Linked DNA regions of Neodiprion lecontei. The protein of the gene in region 1 purifies or fractionates together with the protein of each later gene. This does not show direct contact. Links are inferred from orthologs where the notes say so. Each region holds a gene or a part of one and is shown in the gene's direction. Other genes may lie near its edges.

What was found.
Region 2: the proteins of epidermal growth factor receptor (region 1) and growth factor receptor-bound protein 2 purify together in Drosophila melanogaster (affinity purification with western blotting; 4 studies listed by BioGRID, with this or other methods). This does not show direct contact. The link is inferred for Neodiprion lecontei from reciprocal best matches to the Drosophila melanogaster genes Egfr and drk.
Region 3: the proteins of epidermal growth factor receptor (region 1) and leucine-rich repeat, immunoglobulin-like domain and transmembrane domain-containing protein 2 purify together in Drosophila melanogaster (affinity purification with western blotting; 5 studies listed by BioGRID). This does not show direct contact. The link is inferred for Neodiprion lecontei from reciprocal best matches to the Drosophila melanogaster genes Egfr and kek1.

Annotation. Positions count from the first base shown.
Region 1 is NC_060261.1:44,219,948-44,227,958, forward strand, and holds the start of epidermal growth factor receptor, read left to right. Parts: upstream 1-3,607; intron 3,608-3,938; 5' UTR 3,939-4,457; intron 4,458-4,662; 5' UTR 4,663-4,884; intron 4,885-5,051; exon of another isoform or gene 5,052-5,158; 5' UTR 5,159-5,387; coding exon 5,388-5,449; intron 5,450-5,567; coding exon 5,568-5,759; intron 5,760-5,884; coding exon 5,885-6,150; intron 6,151-8,011. UniProt on the Drosophila melanogaster protein: Receptor tyrosine kinase, binding ligands of the EGF family and activating several signaling cascades to convert extracellular cues into appropriate cellular responses. Known ligands include spitz, gurken, vein and giant-lens.
Region 2 is NC_060266.1:3,271,614-3,279,611, forward strand, and holds the start of growth factor receptor-bound protein 2, read left to right. Parts: upstream 1-2,967; 5' UTR 2,968-3,422; coding exon 3,423-3,500; intron 3,501-6,463; coding exon 6,464-6,561; intron 6,562-6,754; coding exon 6,755-6,874; intron 6,875-7,059; coding exon 7,060-7,225; intron 7,226-7,410; coding exon 7,411-7,584; intron 7,585-7,998.
Region 3 is NC_060261.1:14,886,129-14,895,012, reverse strand, and holds leucine-rich repeat, immunoglobulin-like domain and transmembrane domain-containing protein 2, read left to right. Parts: upstream 1-3,146; 5' UTR 3,147-4,005; coding exon 4,006-5,865; 3' UTR 5,866-6,353; downstream 6,354-8,884.

The DNA of each region.
Region 1 (8,011 bases):
TGCGGTGAACATTTTCGACTGAACGGTGTATATAACATAGTTGACGTCGAACGTGGGCGTCCCATGAGTGGGTGTTGGTCGGAGATCGGAAATCGTGGCAGAGTACGCTGCAACGATGACATCACCGAGGCCATGCCAGCTGACTCGACTTAGATGGAGCGAAAGATGTTCGCGAAATGAAAGTTACAACGCTGAAAGGGTTTTGACGTCACGGTACAAGTTAACGTGGGGGTGATCTTTACGAACGTAGGTAGTTATACGGCGACGAGATCGCGATGAAATATTATCCATCCTGGCGTCCAGATCGGCCATTAGTGAATTCGTGTTCCGTCACCCTGCGTACATTCTTACTCCAAAAGTAGATTCAGACTGTGCGGCCTTTCACGCCAATTAACCAAAACCTCTCAACAGTAGTAACGGTTTCCCATATCGTCGTATTGCAAAGAATGAATACTTGCCAAATAATCGCATCTTCCGACCTAAATTTTATGCCAACTTCCCATAACGGCATCCCTTATATCTGAACGCGGTCGGAGACGGGGAACGGGATAAAGATGTTAATCAGATTAGAATTGTGTCGCTGTTCGCCGAATTGATACATCACACCGCAATTACGCATATTATAGAAACTTGTAATAAATAACATCGGATGCCGGGATAGAGAATTCATCAGAAATTAAACCCCACTTGTTTGCGAAATTCAAAATGGATTCATTCAGAGACGAATCAGTCGTTTATTTTGTAGAAGCCGACGGGAACAACACGCAAAAGGTGCGGGCGCCATTATCGAAAGATATTATGGTCCCGAGCTCAATTGAGCTAATACAACGCGTGAAACAAATGATGACCAAGTGATGACGATGCTGCAGTTGCTGAACCGTCCAAAACCGCATCGTTATAGTTGAAGTGGAGATAATAGCTTACCTGTCGTAATCGGCACAGTGAAAAGTAGCATCGGATGTCAAAGAGTCAGTGCAATTCCAATATAGATTCTGAATTCAGTATTCTGCTTACTGTGGATAGAGATGAAGTGGAGACGCAGTATGGTACAATTGCAAAAGAAAAAGATTGCGTCATCTAAAGAGCCAAGATGTAGGTGTTGAACCCAACTTATCGTTAGCTATGCTCACAATTTTCATTTAGAGCAGACTCGGTATAGCGATGCACCACCGGATATCACGGAAATACGCCGATAACCGTTTGTTTTATTCATATTTACAGCCGACTGGTGCCCGCTCCGATTGTTCCTAACTTATTGTACATGAAATCTCATACACCCGGGCCTTGATGTTATGAAACATATCTCAACCAGATACCTAAATCTCGCATCTAAGAGATGCCTAGATTTGCTAAAATAAATACGGCCCAGTGATATCCAGTTCAAGAACCGTATACAGAGAACGAATTTTGGATGGCACGGCGGTGCGGGTACTTTCGAAACTTCACATTTGCTTGCTTCGATGAATTTTCAATCGAATTCTAATCGGCAAAGCTCAACAGCCACGCGCATCATTTCTGTGCATAATTGATATTTGTGGCACCATCACCGTTATACCAATGTCTATCCGTGCCGTTGAGGAAAGAGAGAAGGACTTTCCTGTAACTCAATATTCTGCGAACAGTTATTTAAATGAAATTGGCGTTGGCATAGGCGTATAATGACGTCGAAATCCAGCCTGGCCGCGGTAAGAGAAACATCTTTTTTATAGTAAAAGGACCAAGATTCGTGATGCCGATAATAAATAATAAGATCCCGCGGAGCTGTCGAGCTATAGACCATCCCTAATGTCTAAAATAAAGTAGTCTTCGTTCCATCATAATAATTTGCATCGAAACCACAATCAAGTTCGAATTAGGAAAGCTCAGTACGAATCGCTGTATTAGCGCAGCACTTGAATTACGTAGACTCCTTTCCGCCTTGTTAAATCGTAAAATCGTTAACATCCAGTTGCCACAGTCCTGGGACCCGGGCAATTTCAGGCTCCCTTATTTACGACGTTGGATTACGTTGAAGCGAGCTTTTTTAAGCAATCCTCTGTAATAAAAAAAAAATTATCACGGGCTCACGGCGAGAACCGTGTCAACTGAGTCAACATCGTCACTTATGCATTGATATCGTTGATAACAACGTCCGTCCGATTGTTTTTACAATCTTCAAGAACACTGACAACGAGCATAGGGACCTGTATACCTACGCGGATAGTATATCCGTAGATGTGTGGATAGATGGTTAGGTGCATCGAAAAATGGAAAGATGGATAGATGGATGAACGAATATATTGGTAGAAAGGCAGGTAGCTAGGTGGACGGGTAGATCGCTAAGTTGATCGAAGGACGATGAGAAAAGGTTAAGGAGTACAAGAAAACCAAATTGCCCTCTAACAGAGGAGATGGAAGGGGAATTTGTGGCAAAAACCGTTCTTTCGCCAACTCCTAAAACATGTACCCATGCATGTTGTGCACACATGGATTCAGGAGGAGAACCATTGGGAAACATTCTCGAACATTTTTTATTACGGATAGCTTACCCGCTCGGCTAAGGCTAGCGTTGCAGTTACAGAATATGCCACGTCGCCGTCACCTACTGTCGTTGCTGTGATGAAATCGCACAGAATTACATGCTATCCGGAAGATGTGGTAAGATGCGATCATCATACAGAGCCTCCGTTCGAATATTAAAACATTGTCTGCGGGGCTGGGGTACGGACCAGAGAAGCGCCAGGAAAGAATAGGCCAAATTATTCAAAAAATAAACAAATGAGGAATTGGTTGAATACTTTCCAAATTTCCTAGGAGTGAAAACAGCGCAATTCGGATGATTGAGTAAATATTCACTCTTTAAGAGTGAACTTTTCCAGTCGAAACGCATGGAGTGCATAGAGTCACTCTAAAGAGTGATTATATGTCTTTCACTCCAAGATATTAAGAAAGCAAGCGAATACCAGCACTGGAAGTTTATCAGAAAGCGATTTTTACGAGGGGCTTACGATTATGATCTAATATTCTGACAAAACCACACGTTACCGTCGTACAACTAAATAGTAGTGAAGAGGGTATTTCTTGTATTTAAATAATGTAACGAAAGTACCGGTGACATCATATCTGAACCTTCCTCTGCGTGCTGTACTCATGCCTGTATTGAAAACACGCATCGGATATTATATTATGTCCACATACGTAGTATACTTATACGTATTAAAAATGTTAATTTGAATTTTTTCTCGAGACCAGCGATGTTCACATTGACTAATTAACTTTATTACATGTTTTAGAAAGAAGTCATCCATTCTGGCATGTGCCAGACTTGGTGAATTGGGCGCGATGGAAACCGCAACGTTCGTTCGAAACGCATTCGACTTTCTTGACGCGTGTCCGAAAGCCGTGCTTCCGAGGCCAGTCTCCGTGGCATCCCTCAAGGTCACCTTGACAGAGTCCACGGATCCGTGGAGGGCATGAACGCTCACCATGTCAAGTCTGCATCGCATCGAGCTCAATTCGCCGTCAACGTACAGTCGTCTCCTCGGCGCAGCACTGATATTGTTGGTGGTTGTCTTCTCGCATCGATATGCTTCCGCAGAACTCAATTCTGAGTTTGTGAAAGGAAAAAGTGAGACAACATCCCGATCTGATCCGAGCTTATTCTATAATTTGATTTACCGCACCTTGGCAACTCTTCTCGCGAAAGAATAGTTGGTACTTGACAAAATCTTCACGACGATTCCGGCAGTCCAAATCATTACATTTTAAGGTTATCAATAGGGCATATAGTAACACAGTGATTTAACAGCGTTAGGTCGTCTCATCGTTAGGTGTATTACGATTTTGACGATGGTACGTCCGTGAGAATGTTCGAGGTCTCATGTTAGATATACGTGTGTGTATATATATATATATATATATATATATATATATATATATATATATCAAATAAATTTCAGATAGAGTGATCCGAAAGCGTTATTACTTGGGCATGATTCTACACGGTCCAAGACTTTTGACCTGCTATATTGTAGAATGAAGACACGCGGAAGAGTATACCTCAACTCGCAGAGATGTACTCCACAAGCGTTGCATGCATTTCTTCCAATTCTGATGTCAAAATAATAATTTTTCCATTTTTCAGCTGACAACACTGAGTTCCAAGCCCTAACGAGCCAGAAAAGTGAAATTCTTAAGCAATCCTGCTCCGTCACTGTACTTTGACCTTGACATGTTTCTAACCCTGAATATATTTCTAGTAACGCATTTGACTTCTATGTTTTCCTTGATTCTTGGCATATATTCAGTGTTCTGTATTTTTGATTAACCTGTAAAAGGGAAGAATAATTTATTATTACGGTTAACTGTGTATTATTGGGGCTGATCATTCGGATTTAGAATCCTGTAGTTGGAAAACCCTTGAACAATTTATCGAAATGGTCGAAACCGTCCGTGTTCAATCAGCCAATAAAACTTTGGTAATTAACATAATCTGATGGCTATTGCGTAATTCGTTGTACACTAAAATGACTACCAGTATTAGGAATTATCCTAAAAAATTTAGAACTTGTGAAACTTGGTGCCTTTTTTGAACTACATGTTTAAAATTTAAATTCAATCAATTTGCCTGTATGGCTTTAGGTGTCCAGCAAATACAAACAAATATAGTTTGTCATTTGACAGGTTCCATGCTGAGTCTTGTTCAACCTTTCGTTGTCACACTGAATCTTTGGACTTTGGGACTAAATATCTGTAACTGAAAGGGTGAAAATGGATCCTTCTCTGCCACCTACCGATAATTTGGTGGTTCTACTCAAAGGCTGTCCGTATCTGCCTACCAGTGCACACATACCAAAATGTGTTCATGCGACAGGTGCTTACGGAACATCGTGATCAGCTTCATGGGTCAGAATGAATATGCTTTGTGAATTGTACACTAACAAGCTATTTCTTTCCCCCATTGCGTAGCCCGTTTCGAGAGTGTCACGCAATAATATTGCGGAAAAAATATTAAAAATTGAAAAACTTACAATTTTTTATACGAAGAACCTCTTTTTGCAAACTTATGACTTTGTGAATTTTTTTTTAACGTGTCGCCATTCTATTTCTCCTAAAACAGCAATGAATTCTTATTTTAGAATGTTCAAAGTATTTCTCCCAATTTTTTGTTTCAAACCAGAATGATAGTTTGCATGTAACAGCGTTCTGAAATCCGATATGGGGTCAATTTGACCCAAAGCAACACCGGCGGGATTCCCCGGAAGTGTGACAACGGAGCGTTGAAAGATTTGGTCGAAAACAATGAAAGTGTTGTAACTTTTGTACCAATGCAAGCAGCAATTGAGTAAGAAAATTAGGTTGACTCCTAGAAGCGTTCGATTTCAATCAATTTGCATCCGAAACCTTGAATGATAGAGATGAGGAATGAGAGTTCCTTCCGTGTTGCCACGATTGCTACAAGAATACCACGGTACGTAGCAGAAAATTTTTTAAAACTGCAGTCAGTTTGTATGAATATATGGCGTAAAAAATGTTTGGTTAATTCAAATAAGAGTGGTTTGATACGATAACACAAGTTATTGTTGTAGCCACCTTTCTGTTGAAACAAATGACATTCACACGAATGAAATAAATATTTCTTGCGCCATATCTGACTGCCATACTTGGAAAAGTCAACAAATCCTTGCTCCGTATGTGTGTGGGGATGATGCACGTGTACGGGGATTCCACGCACCGTTCCTAACCATTGATCGAATCGACGTGAAATGCGCCCGTCCGAGGTAGCGCTCCACGCTTGTATTATTTTATCGAGAGAAGAATACTCAGAGCACATAGAGTCTTACGACGTAGGCTCTGAAGGCAAACAGTTGTTATAATACGAATACAAGCAATATTACCGTTCAAGGTTGAACTGGGTGGCTGAGGTGATCAAGGTTCACAATAAACCGCCGTCCGGTACTTCTGGTAGAGTTAATATCCAGAGAAAGGCTCACGTACTCGGAGCCAGACACGAGCTGGTCCTGCAGCCTCGCAACCTCACAGTCCCAGAGCCGTCCGGCGAGGTGAGATTGCGCGAGAGCGACCAAGACCCGGAGATGCCTGAAAGGCAATACGGAGAGAGATCGACGAACAAAGCACATTCCACACGCCGTTATTTGTTCCTTGTCTGCGGTACATTTCAGTTCTGAACTCCTTAGCTTTTCCTATTTTTCTTCAACTTACCAGTTGTATACCCCCCCCTCTTCCCCAGCTTTTCACCCTCACAACGGATCAGCGTGCTAAATAAAGAGGTCGAAATAAATCTGTTACATTCTCAATCGTCTCTGTGCCAGTATTGTTTGGAAAATATGCTATGAATCGAATCAACAAGCGAGCAGATTATTTTTATTTATCTTTTCTGTGCTCATAAATCTTCAATAAACTTATAACTTATCCAAGTACACGTGCAGGGGTTGATGCTGAAACGGAACTGATATCTTATACAAGATACTGATCGACGATTAGGCTAGTATCGCAGTTCGTTTTAGAATCACCTTCTTATGCGTACACATGTGTACGTGGGTAACCAGAAGTGACTTTACACACATGAGCTGTGTTCATTTTACTGGCCTACGGCCGGAACCCGATTTTCTACATCTACACTTGGATGTAAAGAATTGATGCAGGCATTAATAAATATAGCTACTGTGCGGTGTATAATACGGCTTATGCTTGAGAAACTATCAACTTAAAAACGTTACACTTATTTGGCCTTGTGAGTTTTGTTTTACCCTCTTCATGAAAATTAAGAGGAATATTGACAAGAGTGGCGAAAGGAACTATCAACGTTCGTGTTGCTTTTACTTTGATCTCACAGGGTGTAATGCAGTAGCCGCTCCGGCTGAAACGACATAGAGGCGGCGCGCGGCGTGTACACGCGTTGATAAACAACGGCAGCTTCGCTTTACTACACAACTTTTCGCGCTGAAGGCCTCACGAAACCTTGAATCGAAGCTAGAAAATGTACATTGTACTATAACATGATATTAATAATTCAACTGAGGCTACATGTTTTTTGATTTCGATTTGTTATTCGCTACTAGAAATAAATAGAACAATTCTGAAGTAATCAAGGTCTTCCGGTTGATGAGGTTTACTTATTAGGGAAATGCATTATATGGCCGTGAAAACTCCATACATTTTTACTTTCCAATAATGACTTGAGAAGGTTGGCATTGCGTTCATTCTTTCTCCACAAAGTTATCAAGTTACATATTCTGTTGCGTCCTTGAAAGATACTTTGTTTCGCATCTTCTTGATGAAAGGTTTTTCAAAATTATCTCAAAGGAAAGTTTTTCTTTATCGCATACAGTGCAACCTCGTTGTAAGACGTATGTTAGGGTGGTAAGGGGAATAGGATTCCAAGAAATTCGACGCCGGAACTTTCACCGACTACTACCTGGAGAGCTCAAGAATCACACGTGCGTGAATGTGTCGATGATCAATACCACTCCTCGTTATAAGAGCATCGCAGTTATGTATACGAATTCGGTGTCTCAACACGTATGATCCAACGCAATCGCTTGTTCCCTTATAACGAACGAATATATACGTGGCCATTTACAGTTTAATCAGTCCATGTTTTGTGATTGGTCGGGCGATTCGTGAAAAGACAGTCACAATTTGCCGATGCCTGCGCTTGCCGAAGAAACCGCGAAATCTGCCTATGCGACCAACCCTATTGATCCTCGTTACTTGTTTTATTCCCTCAAACTGTATGCTGCCGTTTATTATCCTGCTGCTAATCATTCGGTCATGCCCTTAAGCGAATGCAGGGACGGAAATCCAATTTTTATACAAGCGTCTGACAAAGGTGAACAGTAATGATATCGGTATTTTCATTTTTGTATACCAAGCTAAACTGTCAGCGCATACGAAGCTCGGCCGAATATTTCTCAGGCCGTGTACCTTTCGATTATCATTTGATTTGGGTATAGCTTATTGTGTATCGACGAAGTGGGCGGAAAGCACGTTAATAAAATTTTTTCTAAAC
Region 2 (7,998 bases), on another chromosome or scaffold:
GAGTTGAACAAAATTCTGAGACAAAATTTAAAAATTCAGAAATCGATTCCGATCTTATTGTTAGTTTTAGCAAAAAACCATGGAGGATGTGGGAGAAATTCTTGAAGCAAAAAAAGTAAAACGATACGCAATACATAGATGGGGTCTCTGAGAGTGAAAAGTTGTTTCATCCTTCATTTTACTTGCACAAGCAACCCTGATTCAAGCACGCTGATTTCAAAATTGTACGTTAAAGTCGGTTCTAGGATCAACTCGACCCCGTGTAAGTGACTAGGGTCAAGTATCAAACATTATCATTATCAGTCGCATCATTATTTTGGTGTTGAACAAAACTAATGAAATGAAAAGATTCTCCATTGTTGATTTTCTCCGTAGCCACGACGGCGACAGAATCAGACTCCAGCTGTGGTTTTTCTCGCGCTGTGCGGTCCGTACTTTCCCCGTCGTCGAGCGTCTCTCTATCTCTTCATCTCCCGTGCTCAAGCCCGCGGTTTTTCTCAGACTCGTCCCGTCTTCTTCTCTCTCCTTGCAGCCCTTCCCTATCCCGCTCTTCTCGTGGCAGGGGCCGCCCGTTTGTCCGGGGATCGCATTTAAGTACCTTTCATCTTCTTTTCGAAGAGACGTGCATGCATGCATGTATTATACCTGTACGCAGGTATACATAACCGGAGAGCGACCTGCATCGAAAAGGGCAGAAACTACGTGCGAACTGTAGGGCCGTCGTGCTTCTTTCTTCTATTTTTCGTTCCTCTTTGGTGGATCCTTAAGGGATGTACAAGCATGCGCAGTGGACGATGTTGCTTGACAATGATAGACTTAGCCGAGTTCAAGTAGAGGAACTGAACCCAACCATCATCGTCCACCATATATAGCTATATATCCCACTTGAAATAAACACAGTTCTCATTCTGTCTCACTCTTTTCATCATCGTACAGTCGTTGGACATGCGTTGGGCAGTATGTGAAAACTCTTTCATCTCTCTATCGTATGCAGCATCGTATGTGGGTAGCGTTTCCCGGATACATTGGTTAATAAAGCTGCGCAGTAATAATACAACGTAACACAATACAAATATAATACATTTATCAGAATGAGTCCTTCTTTAATTCTCGAAACGATCCCGATTCAAAGCAAAATGGTACGAATCGGTTATTTTAGCTGGGTACGACCTATCAATCACACTCGATTTTCAAACTCCTATTAGTCCCTTATTATGGTATGTTCAATTTCGTCGATGAGTTTCGTTCTACGCCGGCAGACAGGCGACGTCCGATGCTTTCGACCTTCCGGCGGAATGGATCAGTGACCGCCACATATGATTCACGCACAAAAATTTATCTTTTTCTCTTATTTGGGAAATTACCGTTACCAGAGATATGCACGCAGGTTTCACACCGTGGCCATGGAGGATATCGCAAGGAAGAATAAATACGACAGGTCAACAGTTTAACCGATAATTTATTATCCGGATACTGAATAATTCATAATATGCGTACATGTATAGATATACGTATGTGTATACATGTTGTAACGCGTAAATTTTCGTCATTGTCTCTGGCCGGAATAATCAGCTCGAACAAGGTGTACGTATACACCTATATGCTAATTACACCTATCTATACCTACCTGTGCATCAACGATACTAATATACAGTTGCGAATTTCAAATCGATCTTATGGTTCAAAATTCATTGTAAATGAACAAATATTTCTCTATTAATTTTTAACACCGTATTTTATTACAGTTCATCCATCATTTCTACGAATGTAAACTTCCACTCGCTAAACCTATACGCATGCGCGTTTATTTGTTTGTATGTACATACATACATGCATCGACGCAGAGGATAGGCGGTTGTTCGTGTTTCATGAAAAGAAACGTGCCTGGCTCTGCCGAATGACGACAGCAGTCGACAGGCTTTTCCTCGAGCTGTACAACCGAGTTGTTGCCGACTGCGCATGTCGCGTATTCCGCGGTCGCGAAGTAGTCCCAGAGGTAAAATGAGAAAAAAAAATGGCGTTCATGTTGCCGCGTAGAAATGTACTCGAACGGATTTTCCGCAATTACAATAACCCTGCAAAACGTCTGGGGTAGTCAATGGGAATACGACTTGATAAGCGATAGGTGGGATAAACTATCGGGTGAAAATTACCAGGCCCCAAAATATCGTCGGGCTGTTTTAGTACCGACGTGAAACGACGCGGTGGCAGCACCGTCGCTAACCGGGATCCCCAGGAGAAGGCAGGAGGTGCAGCAGCGGTCAGTGGCGACCGACGGCGGCTGATAAGCGTAAGCTTAAAGCAATGGGTTATAATTCCTCGAAGTATGCAATTGCGGTGGTCGTCGTGAACTGATGACAGTTTTAACGGTTTACCAATAAAAGTTCGTTCCGATTAATAAGGAGCAATTAACGCGGCGAACATTATTATCTAATTTTCTTGCCGCAAGAAGACAACCGACCGAAATTATAATGAAAGATTACGGGTTCCGTTTCTGCTAGTATCGCGTTTCGCTACCGCTACTAATACTACTACTGGCTCCTGGCACTCGTGTTTCGATCGAGAGGAAACAGATATCGTTCACAGTGTGTTGTTTAAACCATACAAACGCGAACGTGACATAGATACGCGTCTCGGTGCATAAGTAAAACGTTTCGAAAACAAAAGAGGAACGATAAAGAAAAGGAACAAGAGTTTAACAACACCAACACAACAAGTTTAGAGGTACAAAGAGAAGGAACGAGAGAAGGAAAAGAAAAATAATAAAAAATCAAAAATAAAAAAACAACAAGCAAAATAAAGAACCCAGCTGCGGTTTTTCGTTACTGTCACAAAATCTACGTGTCCGATTATTATCAACTGGTGGTGTATGTTGTATACTGTGCAGTTTAAGTTGTTCTTCTCTCAACAGGCTATATCAGAGGTGAAAGAAAAAAAAAGATAATATATATATATATATATCGAAAGGCGACCGACGGGCGTCGAGAGGCGAACGAACGGCCGATCACCATCCACGGAGTAGATCCGCAGCTGTGATTTTTTTTTCCTCATTACATACGGCGATACGTGGTACCCATAGGCTTATTATACCCAGTCACACTGCGTGTGACATACGAAAGGAAAGAAGAGGAAAAACTACTCTTCAATTGGGTCGTTTGAACTTTGTGTCGAGGTGGACGTTGTTCAAGGCTGGTTCGTGCCAAGGGAGAGACGTTCGTTTATTACCTACCTAACCGAGAACCCGTGACGACGACGAAGACGACGACGACGAGGACGTGGAGGAGGACGAGGACGAGGAGGAGGAGCAGGAGAACGATTGATATCGCACGCATAAATTCTTCGGCGAAATATAACAAATATAACGGATTTGCCAGGATTCAACTTGGATAAATAGATTCGGATAAAGAGAGTGAATCATCACCATGGAGGCGATAGCGAAACACGATTTCAATGCGACGGCCGATGACGAGCTCAGCTTTCGTAGGAGTCAAGTATTGAAGGTTGGTACGGCTCACCCTCTCCTCGCCGCCCTTCCCCGCCCACCACCGCTCTCGTCATCTCGTCGTTTATCCATTCCTCTTCACACAATGTGTCTATTTACTTATGCATACCCACATGTGTCGTCCTAGACGGATCCTGTATAATCCCTGATCGTGCCATGGCAATATTTATCCCATTTCTTACGCCTCGCGCTGTAAATTAAGCGCAAATAACACGCTTCTTATCTTATCTATACTTATACCATACGTGTGATGTATGTAAACGGGGGACAGCGCGCATATGCGGAACATGTTTCCTAGATAACCGAGGTGAAAAGAATAGCAGCGGTGATTGTATGGAGGGAAGAGAAGAGAAGAGAAGAAATGAAGAAAAAAATTAAAATAAATAAAATAGAAACAAATGACGAACGATCGCCTGTTCGACTCAACAACGTTACAATGTGTTCCACGCTTTTTCCCTACGTTTTTTTTTTTTTTTTTTATTCTATTTCACCCATCGCCCTGTCATCGTCTATTTGATAAAACTAAAGGAAAGGAGGAAGAACGATATCAACACGGGACAAGCAAAACGGGACACGCACACGCGCATACACCCGCAAAAAGCAGTAACGAATTCTTTCATATCATCAGCGCCATTCTCCCAATCACCAAATATAGAAATACACATACGTATGTGTGTATGCATGCACCTGTGTGTTCGCTCTTCGATCTCACTGATCCGCACTACGGATGGTGGAGGAGGATTTTATCGCGTTTCGGGATTTTGCAATCTAACAATATGACATTTCGTAATACAATTGTCTCTACGTATGGCAAAAGAATTTTTATTCCTTGTTAATAAGTTGGCTAGTTTTTTTTTATCATCGCCTACACCCTTAATTTTTCATTGCGTTCATCAATTTTGTGTAATATCAATTCTTTCATCCCTGATTTGCGCTTTGGTTGCAGGTTCATGAATCGAGAAAATTCGATACCAATCGCCTTTCTGAATTCATTTAGCCAATCATGAAAACTTTCTTGGAATCTTGCTTATAGGTATATCCATCTGAGTCTTTCGAATTTTATTTTATTAACAAAAAAAAAAAAAAAAAGAAGGAGAAGAAGCAGAGAAAGGAAACTCGCCAATATTTTATTGGCATAAGTTTCCTTTCTTCGGTGATCGCGCTATCTATGCTTCTCGATCGTTTAAAAGATCGTTAGTACCAAAATAATAAAAAAAAAAAAAAAGCTGCTGAATATTTTATGACAGCGAAGCGTCAAGTGAAATATATTTGTACATTTAACATAAAGAATTTCTATGAAAGAAACGAAACGACGACGTTTTGTTGCGCATACGTTAATCGTTCTTACTTTGTATACATTTGATGATTATTGTATATTATTTCGACATCGGAATGAATATTATTTGTGGAAGTTTGTCATTGTTTTCGGAGTATCGTGTTTCTCCTACGCGTAACTACATTGTCGTAAGAGTCTATGACGAAACCAGAAATCGAGAATATTGTACATAAGCACGTATGCAGGGAACTGAGTCTTGAGACTTCTGAGACTGACTCTGACACGAGCTGAATATCGTGTCCAAGTTATGCCATAGCTATTTTCTGCTTGGGCAAAACTATACTCGATCTTCGCTCTTATACCTATTTATAAATTTTCATGAAACCATGCGAGAAACGTGGATAGATACCCACGTAGGTATGAAGGAAAACAGAGCCTCTGCGGTTCTTCCTCGTCTAGATGATTTCGCGTTTTTTTAGGAACAGCGACCAACCAACGAACCACGATCCCATCCGCAAATTTTCGATGAAACGATCAAACTTGTGAAAAAAGCAACGCATCGAAAGTTATGTAACGGGCGTTGATATTGTAACGGATTTACGAAAGTAAATCGGTTGGAAAATGTCAACACATTTATAAAAAATTCTATAAGTGGCTGCAAGTGGCGCCATTTTTGTGGAGAAATTTAGCAACTCTAAGGGAATGACTAGAAATGTATGTGCAGTGTAGTAACATGCATTCTATACGTCCTAAAAATAGTACATTTCAAGTCGTACAATGACGCAAAATTTCTTGTCCATGTTGAGAAATTAAATTGTATTTCGTTATGAAATTAAAATAAAGATTGAAAGGAAAACTGGAGATAGAAACTTTTTTTTCGCGGATATCCGATTTTCAAAATTTTAAAGTTCATTCCTTTTCCTATTCCTAATGAAAGGTCAGACATCCCTGTTTGTTATCCCGTTAAATCGATCCATAGAATTTATTGTTAATAATTAATTTTCGCAATTGATAAGTTATATTCTAGAAATGACATTTCATACTAAAGAATTCAAGATCATTCACAAATTATTGTCACATTACAGAGGAGGAAAAAAAAATGAAGAAGACGAATAACAATAATTAGTATACAAACAGATATTTTTGTCTGAAACTTTGGCATCTATTATCGTCTAAGATAAGTTTCCTCCTTTAACAACCGCTGCATACATTACTACACGAAAATATCATTTTAAATACCCGTATGCTCTGGCGTTCCTTTTTTCTTTTATCTTTTGTCCTAATCAATAGGGTATTTAAATACCACCTGCTTATCGTTATGTTGATATCAGTTTCGCTCCTCCTTTCCTGCAAACGAAACTCATTAATCTTACGACCTTGGTTCGGTTTGCTGCTGCTACTTTGGTGGTGGAAGCTGCGATTATTCATACATGTATACTTGCGCAGCATGTATTATTACCACACTGACCAGCATGCAGCTGGCTCCGTTATCAATAGGAAGACAAGAGCAGCAATGACGGAAAATTGAAAAAAAAATCGGTCATTTTTTATAGCTGGGGATTTACCTTTACATACATATTCAATTTTCCAATCTCTTTATTTTCATCATCTCAAAAGAACAACGCACAAAATACACTGTTCCTTTGATTTTATAAATAACTGATTTAACTTTCTCTATTTATTAGATTTTAAACATGGAAGACGACATGAATTGGTACAGAGCAGAATTGGACTCTAGGGAAGGCTTGATACCGAGCAATTACATTGAGATGAAGAATCACGAGTAAGTTTGACGGCGTATTTCTTTCTTAATGAGTTTCATTCCATTGTTGACCCAAGCCAAAGCCAAAGCTATATGAAAAAGGCGATGCTGACTTGAAAGTGCCTAAGATAACAAATTAAGGATATGTTTGAAACAAGGGAAAAAAAAGAGAGAACCAGAACTTGACTTTTCTATTTTTGTTCCCTGTACGCAGCTGGTATTACGGGAGAATAACAAGAGCAGATGCGGAAAGGCTTTTGATGAACAAACGCGAAGGTGCGTTTCTTATCAGAATCAGCGAGAGTTCTCCCGGTGATTTTTCCCTATCAGTCAAGTAAGTTTTGTACAAATATTCGTTCCATCGTTCGAAAAATGTCTAACTTTAAAAGTTGTTAAAACAAAGATTTGCGGTATTTGTATGATTTTTACCTCTCATAGTTTACAATAATACTCGAAGATATTTAACCATTTAAACGCTTATGCATAGCTTCGGATCGAGACATTATTTCAATTCCACAGATGCTCGGATGGCGTTCAGCATTTCAAAGTCCTCAGAGACGCGCAAGGCAAGTTCTTCCTTTGGGTAGTCAAATTCAACAGTCTTAACGAGCTCGTCGAATATCATCGCACCGCATCAGTATCTCGTTCTCAGGACGTGAAATTGCTTGATATGAAACCAGAGGAGGTGAGGAAAATTAACAATATGCTGCGAAATGGTTGTTCCGTTTTATTTATACACATATCGATCCTAAAATCACTCCAATTAATCAATGAGAAGTATTAACTTCCAGAAGTGAAAAGTATCGGAAGAATTTACTACAAAGTTATCATCGACGTTCCGTCTTCATTTGACTTTTCTTGTTATTGCAGTGCTTGGTCCAGGCGCTCTATGATTTTGCACCCCAGGAACCCGGAGAACTTGAATTCAGACGAGGCGACGTCATCACAGTTACAGATCGCACTGACCAGCATTGGTGGCACGGAGAGATTGGCAGCAGACGGGGACTCTTCCCATCGACTTACGTTACGCAGTATCACTCCTAGGTAATTGTTTAAATTACCAACTAATTTTTTATAATTTATAGATCGTTTCGGGTGCTTCTTTGTCGTCTTTTTATCATACACAAAGAACGCAATCTCAGATCTACTTCTCTCATTTATCTTTATAAATTTATCACTTACGTCTGTTATCCATACCTTTTCCCCTTTTCTCGGATGTGTATTTATAGCATTACTTGTCTTTGGATACGTTGCCTTTGATATACTAAATATTTATTACCTATTTCGAAAATTTTATCCCGCTTGACGATGACATATTTCTTATGATTTCGTAGTCATTTATTTATAGTCCCGAAATAAATGCGTTTTAGACTCGATTGAACTTTCTCTTCTTGAGTGTCGAGATTAGATAGGGAAAAAATGTTATAAGATAGATATCAAAAATATGACAGAGCACGG
Region 3 (8,884 bases), about 29 Mb from region 1:
TTGTTGAAAATTTGGCTTGACGCGTCGCTCTGAACATAGGCATACTGGTCCTGCTCGCCGTAGGGTGGTTATGTTCAGAGCACAAACCGTCGACGTTAAATCCACGCCGAAAAATATCGCGTGAGCCGCGTAGAAAATAAAATGTCTTCTTCGCAGCTAATAGATACGAAGATTTACTCGAATAGTTCATAGGTAATATATTGGAAAGACTGCGGTGTTGTCGAGAGCGTGGGGTTTTCGTTTTCCGCATTTATTCATTACATTGCAAATTGCCATTTCATCGGAAAATCTGAAAGATAATCGGCAAGTCGATATTTACATCAAGCTCGTGTTACAGGTGCGAATACGATCGGACTGCTTATTTTTCAATACAAACACCGTTCGCCCTTACAGACAATAACGGGCGATAGTCGATAGATTATCGGAAAAAATATTTCGTCCCCCCACCGCGATTCGGCGCGTCTGGCCGTAGCAGAAACGAGGATTGAATTCAATTTTGGTATACAACAGTTCCGAGGGTTCGATGTTGTACGCATTTGGGTATGATTGAAGAAATACTCATGACAGAAAGTCGGAGAGAACTGGGAATATAAATAGCGTTCAACGCATTCTTAACTGGCACTTTAATCTTTACGACCCGCAGGAGGCGAGGCGAGGGTATGTCGTCAGACGTATACGGCCTCCCTGATTTCGGACGGCCGCGGCGCCAAAAACCTACCATAAATATTTCCAAACCAACTGCGAGTCTGCAGGCTATTACAGGTGTTGTAGCGTCGGAAAAATATATACCGTAGAGGGCCAAGTAGAGCCAAACACAAACAGGGTGTATATGTATATATACATATATATACATATATACATATATATATATATATATATATGTGGCATACGCGAGGAGAGAGAGAGAAAGAGAGAAAGAGAAATGAGTAGAACGATGAGAGAGCAGTAAGCGGCACCCGCGACGTCTTGTTATGATTAAGGGTGGAATTTAATGAAAGTACGACAATAGACGATAGTATATAATTTTTCCTCCGCGTCCGCAGGTATGTGTGCATGTATTTACACACATGTAGCCTTGCATTACGTTTTATGCGGGCACATTGAGGGCCGTTGTGGGGAAAGCCCTTGAGCCCCGAGTTGATTGTTGTTTGTGAAAATTAAAGCACGGAAATAGCGTGTTTGTGTCACGTTTCCGATTTTATATGTATACCTATCCTTATCGAAGTATAGATCTATTGAGGTATAATAATCAAGGCTTTGAGCTGGGTAGTTTGCAGCAAACAAATGCCTCGAGGAAAAATAATACAGTCAGGCGCATTGAAGAGTTGATTTTATGTGTATATGCGGTCTTGAAGGTTCTGACACACATCTAGGGGATATAGTTTCACCATTTATTATTGAAGTACACATGGCGATATGCACGTGACAATGGGAGAAACGTGTTCAATAATTCATCAAATCGACGCAAAATGCGGTCAATTTAATCGCGTGTGCATACGTGTGTACAATAATCCACCCAGTTCAGTAACAAACATTTACCTTTTTATATACATATAAACTGTTTTTCGAAAACCTTTGCGGAGATCTGATTTGTGATCACTACACAGTCTTTAGCTATTTTCGTTTTCTACTATAACTGAACAATATAGTTATAGATATAAAATGGAGATAAGTTTTGTAGCCGTAACCAGATGATCCAGTATGTATATTCTTTTGGATTATGCGGTCACTCATAATATATTTTTTTTGTTAGTATCGCGGTAATTTGATGCCGGTGCAACAATAAATTGAATGCAATCAAAAATGAGGCATACGCTACTGTAGTAACGATAAATAGTCATTTGTGCCACATTTTCTTGTGATTTCGACTGTAGTACTTCAACCCGCTGAAGTCGATTTCGGTGTCCAATCACCCATTGCCACCTTACAAGCGTTGTCCTTAAACTGTGACTTCCTTTGCATTAAGACTCGCGGTGTTTTATTAAATTGAAATATCGACTGCAGCCTTAACAGTCATATTTTCGAAACTCTAACGATTTCACTTCACTTATACTTGCGAGACGAAACATTGTTATTTAAATACGTTTTATTATCAAAAGAATTTACGGTTCGTTTACATCCAGGGTGGACCCGAACAGGATTCCTAAATATAATCGCCCTAAACCTTGTTTAACGATACCTATTTTATCAGAATTTTCTAGGAACTTCAATAAATTAATTTTTTACTCACAATCAGTGAAAAGAGAGTTAATTCGACAATAAAAAAAAGCAGAAATAGCAATTAACAATAATTACATGTAATCGCCATCCGCTTATAGTAGTATATATCGATGGTGATCGGATTTTTTAATATTCAAAAGAATTTTTTTTATATACTTGGAAAGGGGAAAGATGTCCTCCTCGGCTGCAGGGGAACGGGCTTATTGTCGGTCTGTAAAAGACCGCAGAGCGGTGTGGGTGAAAAATTTGCCTAATTCAAGGAAATCAGAAGATATTCTGCGAAATCCGCGAAACGGTCGAGGTTCCACGTTGGAGTATCTCGAAAATCAGTTCGACTCTCTCTCAGTCGCCGCATCAACCGTTCCCCGCATTTGAGTGGTGCCATCAACCGGAAGCGGTGGAATCAAAGGTTATTGATTCAGGCACTGAATTAGGTCTAAAAGGCCTTTCAACGTAGATTTCTTCATAAATGCACCGTCCCCCCACCGCTTTACAAACCCGTCGTTTCTCTCCTTGCCCTTCCCGTCGTTCGAACGCTGCTATGCCACGAGCTAGCTGACAGATAAACCCATCAAGGCTCGGGTTGCCTTGGCATCGCCGGAGAAACAAATCCAGGTATTGTATACAGGCATGCATGTATCCCGAAGAATTAACAGCTGTACACACCGAATCTCAAGTCAACCACACATACGAGCGCTCGTGCAGTAATCAGCCTGGCATAATACCTGAGCGTGGATCTCGTCCATGCGCCCCGCAGGCACATGGGGTACATAAACCTGTATCAACTATATAGCAGTGCATTTAACCACTTTGTGAAATAACCGTATATTTTAATGTGACGTAGCATTCGATACGTTGGGAAGGTGCGCGCGCCTCTCCCCCGTAGGGGTGGCCAGACCCGCGACACCGTCAGGCAGGGGTTGGTTGCCCAGTGGCGGGGGTGATTTCTGTAGGGAGCGCGCAGTGTTCGCGAGTACAGGGGAAATCGGCTGGTATAGCTGCGAGAAGGGTGCGCCCTACTTCGCGTCAGGGAACGAACGCTTGGGCAGCGCGTTGTTTGTATTTAAAAAAAAGAATCTTATCGCGACCAGTGAGTTGTGTCAGATCGAGACAAGTATCTAGTGAGAGTGCGAAGGAAACACTTGTCGTTTATGATTTAGACGAGTAATTTGTGTAGTCACTGTGGGAGATAAATCTCCATCGACGTTACGACGCTTGTTGTGATGATTTTCTTTCACAGTGTAGATGATAACGACAGTGCGCGGGACGTTTTATTACCTAGGAGACAGAATCACACGAGGCGTTGGTGCGTATGAGGTTCGATCGCTCTTCGCACCGTGAGTGAATTCAGTTTTGGTGCAGGGTGAAAAAGTTGGACGGGGCACACGGTATAAATATATCAGATACAGAGACGTAGGCGGACGGCGGACCCTTGGGAGCGAGACAATTCGCGAAGAGTTGTACTACATATACGACGATACGTGCGACGACACTTGGTTCTTCTCGAGTGTGTTATTCGGGGGTAAAGTGCTCGCCGGAATCACGGCTACTCAATAATAATGGAAGGAATTCTGTATTGTCCTTGTAAAATGTGACTGTCGGTGATTCGACTCGTACCGCGGGAGTCGGAAGGGATTTAATATAAGTTGAGTGAAAATGACTATCGCGAAAAGAATATTGGGCGCTGGGTTTGGTCGTGTGGTTGTAAAAGAGATGCCCCGGCTGGGTTAACGGTATGAAATTATCGTCGCGGGGTAACTGCGCGATAAAATAACGACAGTCATCATGAACTTTCTACAGATAATTTACTACGCCACAGCAATGTTCGTCGTTGGATCACTGGGGGAGAAGTGTTCGGACGATTGTTCTTGCAAATGGAAGAACGGGAAGCAGACGGTAGAATGCACGGATCGCTCCCTAACTACCATTCCCGGGTGGATCGATTCGGAGACTCAAGTGTTGGACATGAGTGGAAATAAAATTAAGGTCCTACCAAAGTACATTTTCAAACGATTAGGACTTACGAATCTGCAGCGGCTATACTTGCGCGGCTGTCACATTGACCGAATCGACAGCGAAGCTTTGGCCGGCTTGACTAATCTTGTCGAGTTGGACTTGAGCAACAACTTGCTCACGTCAATACCAAACACGAGTTTCGCCGACACGCAATTTCTGCGGGATTTAATACTGTCCCACAATCCAATACAAAAAGTACCGGCGAACGCTTTGAAGTACACCCCAAACCTCGTCAAGCTCGACATATCAAACTGCAAGATAAACGAGGTTGATTCGAAGGCCTTCGAGGGCCTGGGACTGCTGGAAAGCCTGAAACTGAACAACAACAAATTGGTCAACCTTCACCCGAGCATGTTCGAGTCGCTCGAGAAGCTGACCAGTATCGCTCTGCACGAGAACCCGTGGAAGTGCGACTGCCACTTGAGGGACATAAAAATCTGGCTCCTAAAACGGAACATCCCAACGCTCGTCGCCCCGGCATGTCGCGGGGGTCCCGATCAACTTCTTGACAAAATGTTCTCAGAACTATCAGTCGACGATTTCGCCTGCCGTCCAGTTCTCCTAGTCGTGACTCGTTACGCCGAGGCGACGATCGGGGAAAACGCGAGCATAGTTTGCCGGGTGAGCGCCGTACCACCGGCTCAAATAAAGTGGTACTGGAACGGCAGGATGCTCGCGAACCATTCGGCGTTCAGCAGTTTCCAGAAAATCCTGATATTCGAGGAGGGCCAATCGCGGAAGAAGAGCACCCTCGTCCTGACAAACGCCCAAGAGTCGGACTCGAGCGAGTTTTACTGCGTCGCCGAGAACCGGGCCGGCAGCGTGGAGGCCAATTTTACCCTTCACGTGTCGCTGAGAACGGCGGGAATGTCGACCCTGGGCTCGGGTCAAATAGCCGGAATCTCCGCGGCCCTCGTTGTGTTAATTCTTTTCATCCTGTTAATCATCCTCGTGTTGTTTATCCGTCTGAGGAGAATGCCTCTGAAGGAAATCAAGTCCTCCGGGGGCGCGCAGGACGGCGTTGCAGCAGGCAACGGCGTCGTCGAAGGCGGCGGCTCGTCGTCACGGAGAAAAACCGACAATGACGAGGCGACCTCGTTCGCCACGTTCGCCGAGGCGAAGCCGCCGGCATCCCTGAACCTGAACTACGTCCAGAAGCCGTACGCCTTCTCCGAGGACGATTACACCTTCGCCCGCTACACCGAGAGCCATGCGGCTTCCGGTCCCGGGCCGTGCTACTCGTCGACGACGTCGCTGATGCTCGTCGAGAACCCCGACCTTATTCGGGACACGCGGCGCGGTTCGGCCGACGAGACTAAACCCTTCACACCCGGCGGCTACAGCATAGAAGTAAAGAACAACAAGCTCCTATACTCGAACTGCATATGGGAGTCGAAAGAGGAGATTCCCGTCGGCGGGTACGTCGTCAAGGACATGCAATCGGCGATGACGGCTTCCGTGGACGCGGCGCAAGTCGCCTCGTCCGTTCCTCCGGGCGCTAAGCAGATCCGCGTTTGGCAGAAGGGCGTCCCGGTTTTGCCACCCGTTTCCGCCCTGAAGCGGGTCCTCGGTTCAACACGGAGCTCGCCCGACGAAGGATACCAGGAAGGCACAGGCACCGACGTCTAGGTACCGCTTCTTCATTACTGCGATGCCCGACACAGATACTTGGAGTTACGCAGACGGCACCAGGATGACTTATACGACTAATCAATGCCAAAGGACATTATTCATTCGTTATTTTGGCCATCGGTTTTCACGTGCCGGACGGGCAGTAGTGAACTTTATCAAAGTGGTACTCGAGACGTTGCGTTACACGGCCTTCGGCGAGGCTCAATTTTCTTGTGCGGTACAGAAGTTTCTTATACTTCGTTGTACCGAGGGTGATCAGAGATGCTGTGGGCTAAGCTCTCGCAGTCTTTAGTGAGACGTAGAGAAAAGCAAGACAATGTCATTGTTTCAGTGGTCTTATGGCACAATATTGACGGGTAATTTCTATACGGCAATGCCAAATATACAATTTATAAGTAAAGACTGTAAATGTTCCAAAAAATGTATAGTTAGCGAGGGTAAATTATTAAAGTCACATGTTGGTATATATAAATGGATTTTCTATATGGTCATATTTAATTAAAAAAAAAACACTAGACTAATCATCATATTCTTTTATACACTTCCTCTCTCGTTCACCTACACGAATCAAAATCTCATCACTTTGTTGTACAGTTCAACGTCTGGAAAATCGATGTCACCCAATCGACTTGATTTCGATACACACATCTCTTATCTGGGGTCAAATCTGGTCGTGGGTGAATAATTCGTCCTATGGTTGGAAGTACTAGTGTGGTATTAATGAGAAAGTTATACTTTTCATACGAAGTGTAGTCTTTCGCGTATACTTGTGTCTACGCTTTATGCCGTTGTGTCGTGCAAGCTCACTCAGCCTGTGTAAACAAACGATCATTCGGTTATTTGTGTTGTACTCCTATTTACCCAATTCTTTTCCAGAAAGTGTAACATATCGTTCATTTATCGAGTCACACTAAACATACGTTTGGTTTCACAGTTTTTCGAACTTTGATCACAAGTTTTTCACGGGTGCAACAACATTTCAAATTGAATACTATACCTAGCCCCATGTATTTGTATAAAATATTCTCAATCTCGAACGTAATAAATTAAAGTGTCATCTAAACTCTCCGTTCCGATCGTTTATGTAAAGCTCTTCTCTCGCGTGACACTGACGACTATATCAAAGTGAATTCTTACAGACATCATCCAGGTCACTAAATGCTACAGCAAAATGTGGAGCTTAAGAATTGATTGTCTTGGCCAGATTTCCAGTGCCCGGAAAACCCGCTAGTCAAGTCCTACTGCGTATATTTTTATTCGCAGTTGAACAATCCCCTGGAATCAGTGGCAGAGTGTATTTTATCGTCACCGCTCTCTTGTACTTTTAAGTCCTCACCGCTCCAAGTTTTGGTTTGAAGTGAGAGCCAAGCCAATAGACATGCAATGACGAGGATCTCGTGCCCGATTCGCCATTCGAACACACTCGAGCGTATTGAATTGAATATCTGGATTTCGATCCTCATTGCAGAGCCAACATATCAATCGATTACCAATTTTTCGCTCGCATTGGCCCAGCCTGAAATTTCGCCCCTTCCGTTCGAGGGAGTGTCTTGTTAAGCCATAACACTTGAAATTCCGGTTCGCCCCCCTCGGTCTTGCATTTTTTTCTCGTCTATTTCTCTCGCGATCAATTGGCTAGAATGATTGAGAGACCGTAGTGATTGACGCACGGCTGGGCATGTACACCAAGCCTCGCACGTTCCTCCCCCGCATCGTGACAAACTGGCGGTATACACAAACTTGACGGAGAACACATCACTGTCCAGGATGGGAATGGTGCCGTTTCTAAGCAGTTGATGTATTCATGATGTGCCGATGAAGCGCTATTTTGGGCCTTACAAATTTCGGTGAAAAATTAGGGAGTCTGATACATTTTTAACGTACGAAATTACAGGGTGTCCAGTAGTCCTGGAAATCCTTGAAGTCCTGAAAATATCCTCTGAATCATGACTCCTTGGAAACGTCCTGAAATTATTCTTCTGTCCTGGACATTCATACGATTACAATATTGTTCGATGATTTATTTCCTTATGAATTTATTTGCTCTTGTCTGTACTTTAATTTCCTATTAATTTCGTAAAATTTGAAATGCTTTAATGAATTCAGACATTCTAAGCTTGTTCCGAAGTAATTAGAGCCGTTATTACGCTTAACATTTTTCAGCTATCCCACGCAATTATTTTCTCTTCATAACTTGAGGGAGCTTCGAAAAAATAATATGCTATCGGTTCTAAAAACCTGCTGCGAGCTAAATGAAATCGATTCTCTTCAAAACCATATCTTATATACATCGATGCGCTTACACACAATTAAAACACTGTTGTTAAAATATGAATCTTATTGTTATGTATAAAAAATCGGTTCAAATAGAACAAGTTTTTTTTCACTACGGTCAACAAAAAAAGATTATACAGAGTTACATTCTGGAGGCTACTAGTCCTGGAAGTTCTATGTGTGGATGTTAGTGGACACTTCACAACAGAGGCGAGTCAGATTTTGCTATAAATATTTCTAATTTTTGGCAGCTGCACGTAACTCGTAGCTTTCGCGGTCATTATATCTACCTTGCTTGAAAATACTGTGCTCAAGTTTTAACTAAGAGAGTCGGGAAGGAGATTACAGAAGGCATATAATAATACAAGTGGCTAATTGCAAGTGTAAGGGTGTTGTTTGTTGAGCGTTAAAAACATACGAACACGCTAATCGGGGGCGCTTTACCCCATTGCGCGTAATGAAGTTTTTCTAATTATTAATCTTGTTACGAGCATCAAACACGACCGTGAGTGTGAATATATTTTTTATTAACGCGTTTTATATAGCCGGCACGTGGGTAATTTAATTAACGCGGTGCACTTGCGAAAGTGCGTACTCTATGCCGAGGTTCGAATACTTATATGTAATGTAACACGGTGGAGAAGACGTGAAATCTTTTTCATTTTTCGTCAATTGTTTCCGCTATGACAACGTGCAGATTTGCTAGATTTTGAATTGAATTTTAGGTCTTTATATCACCTAA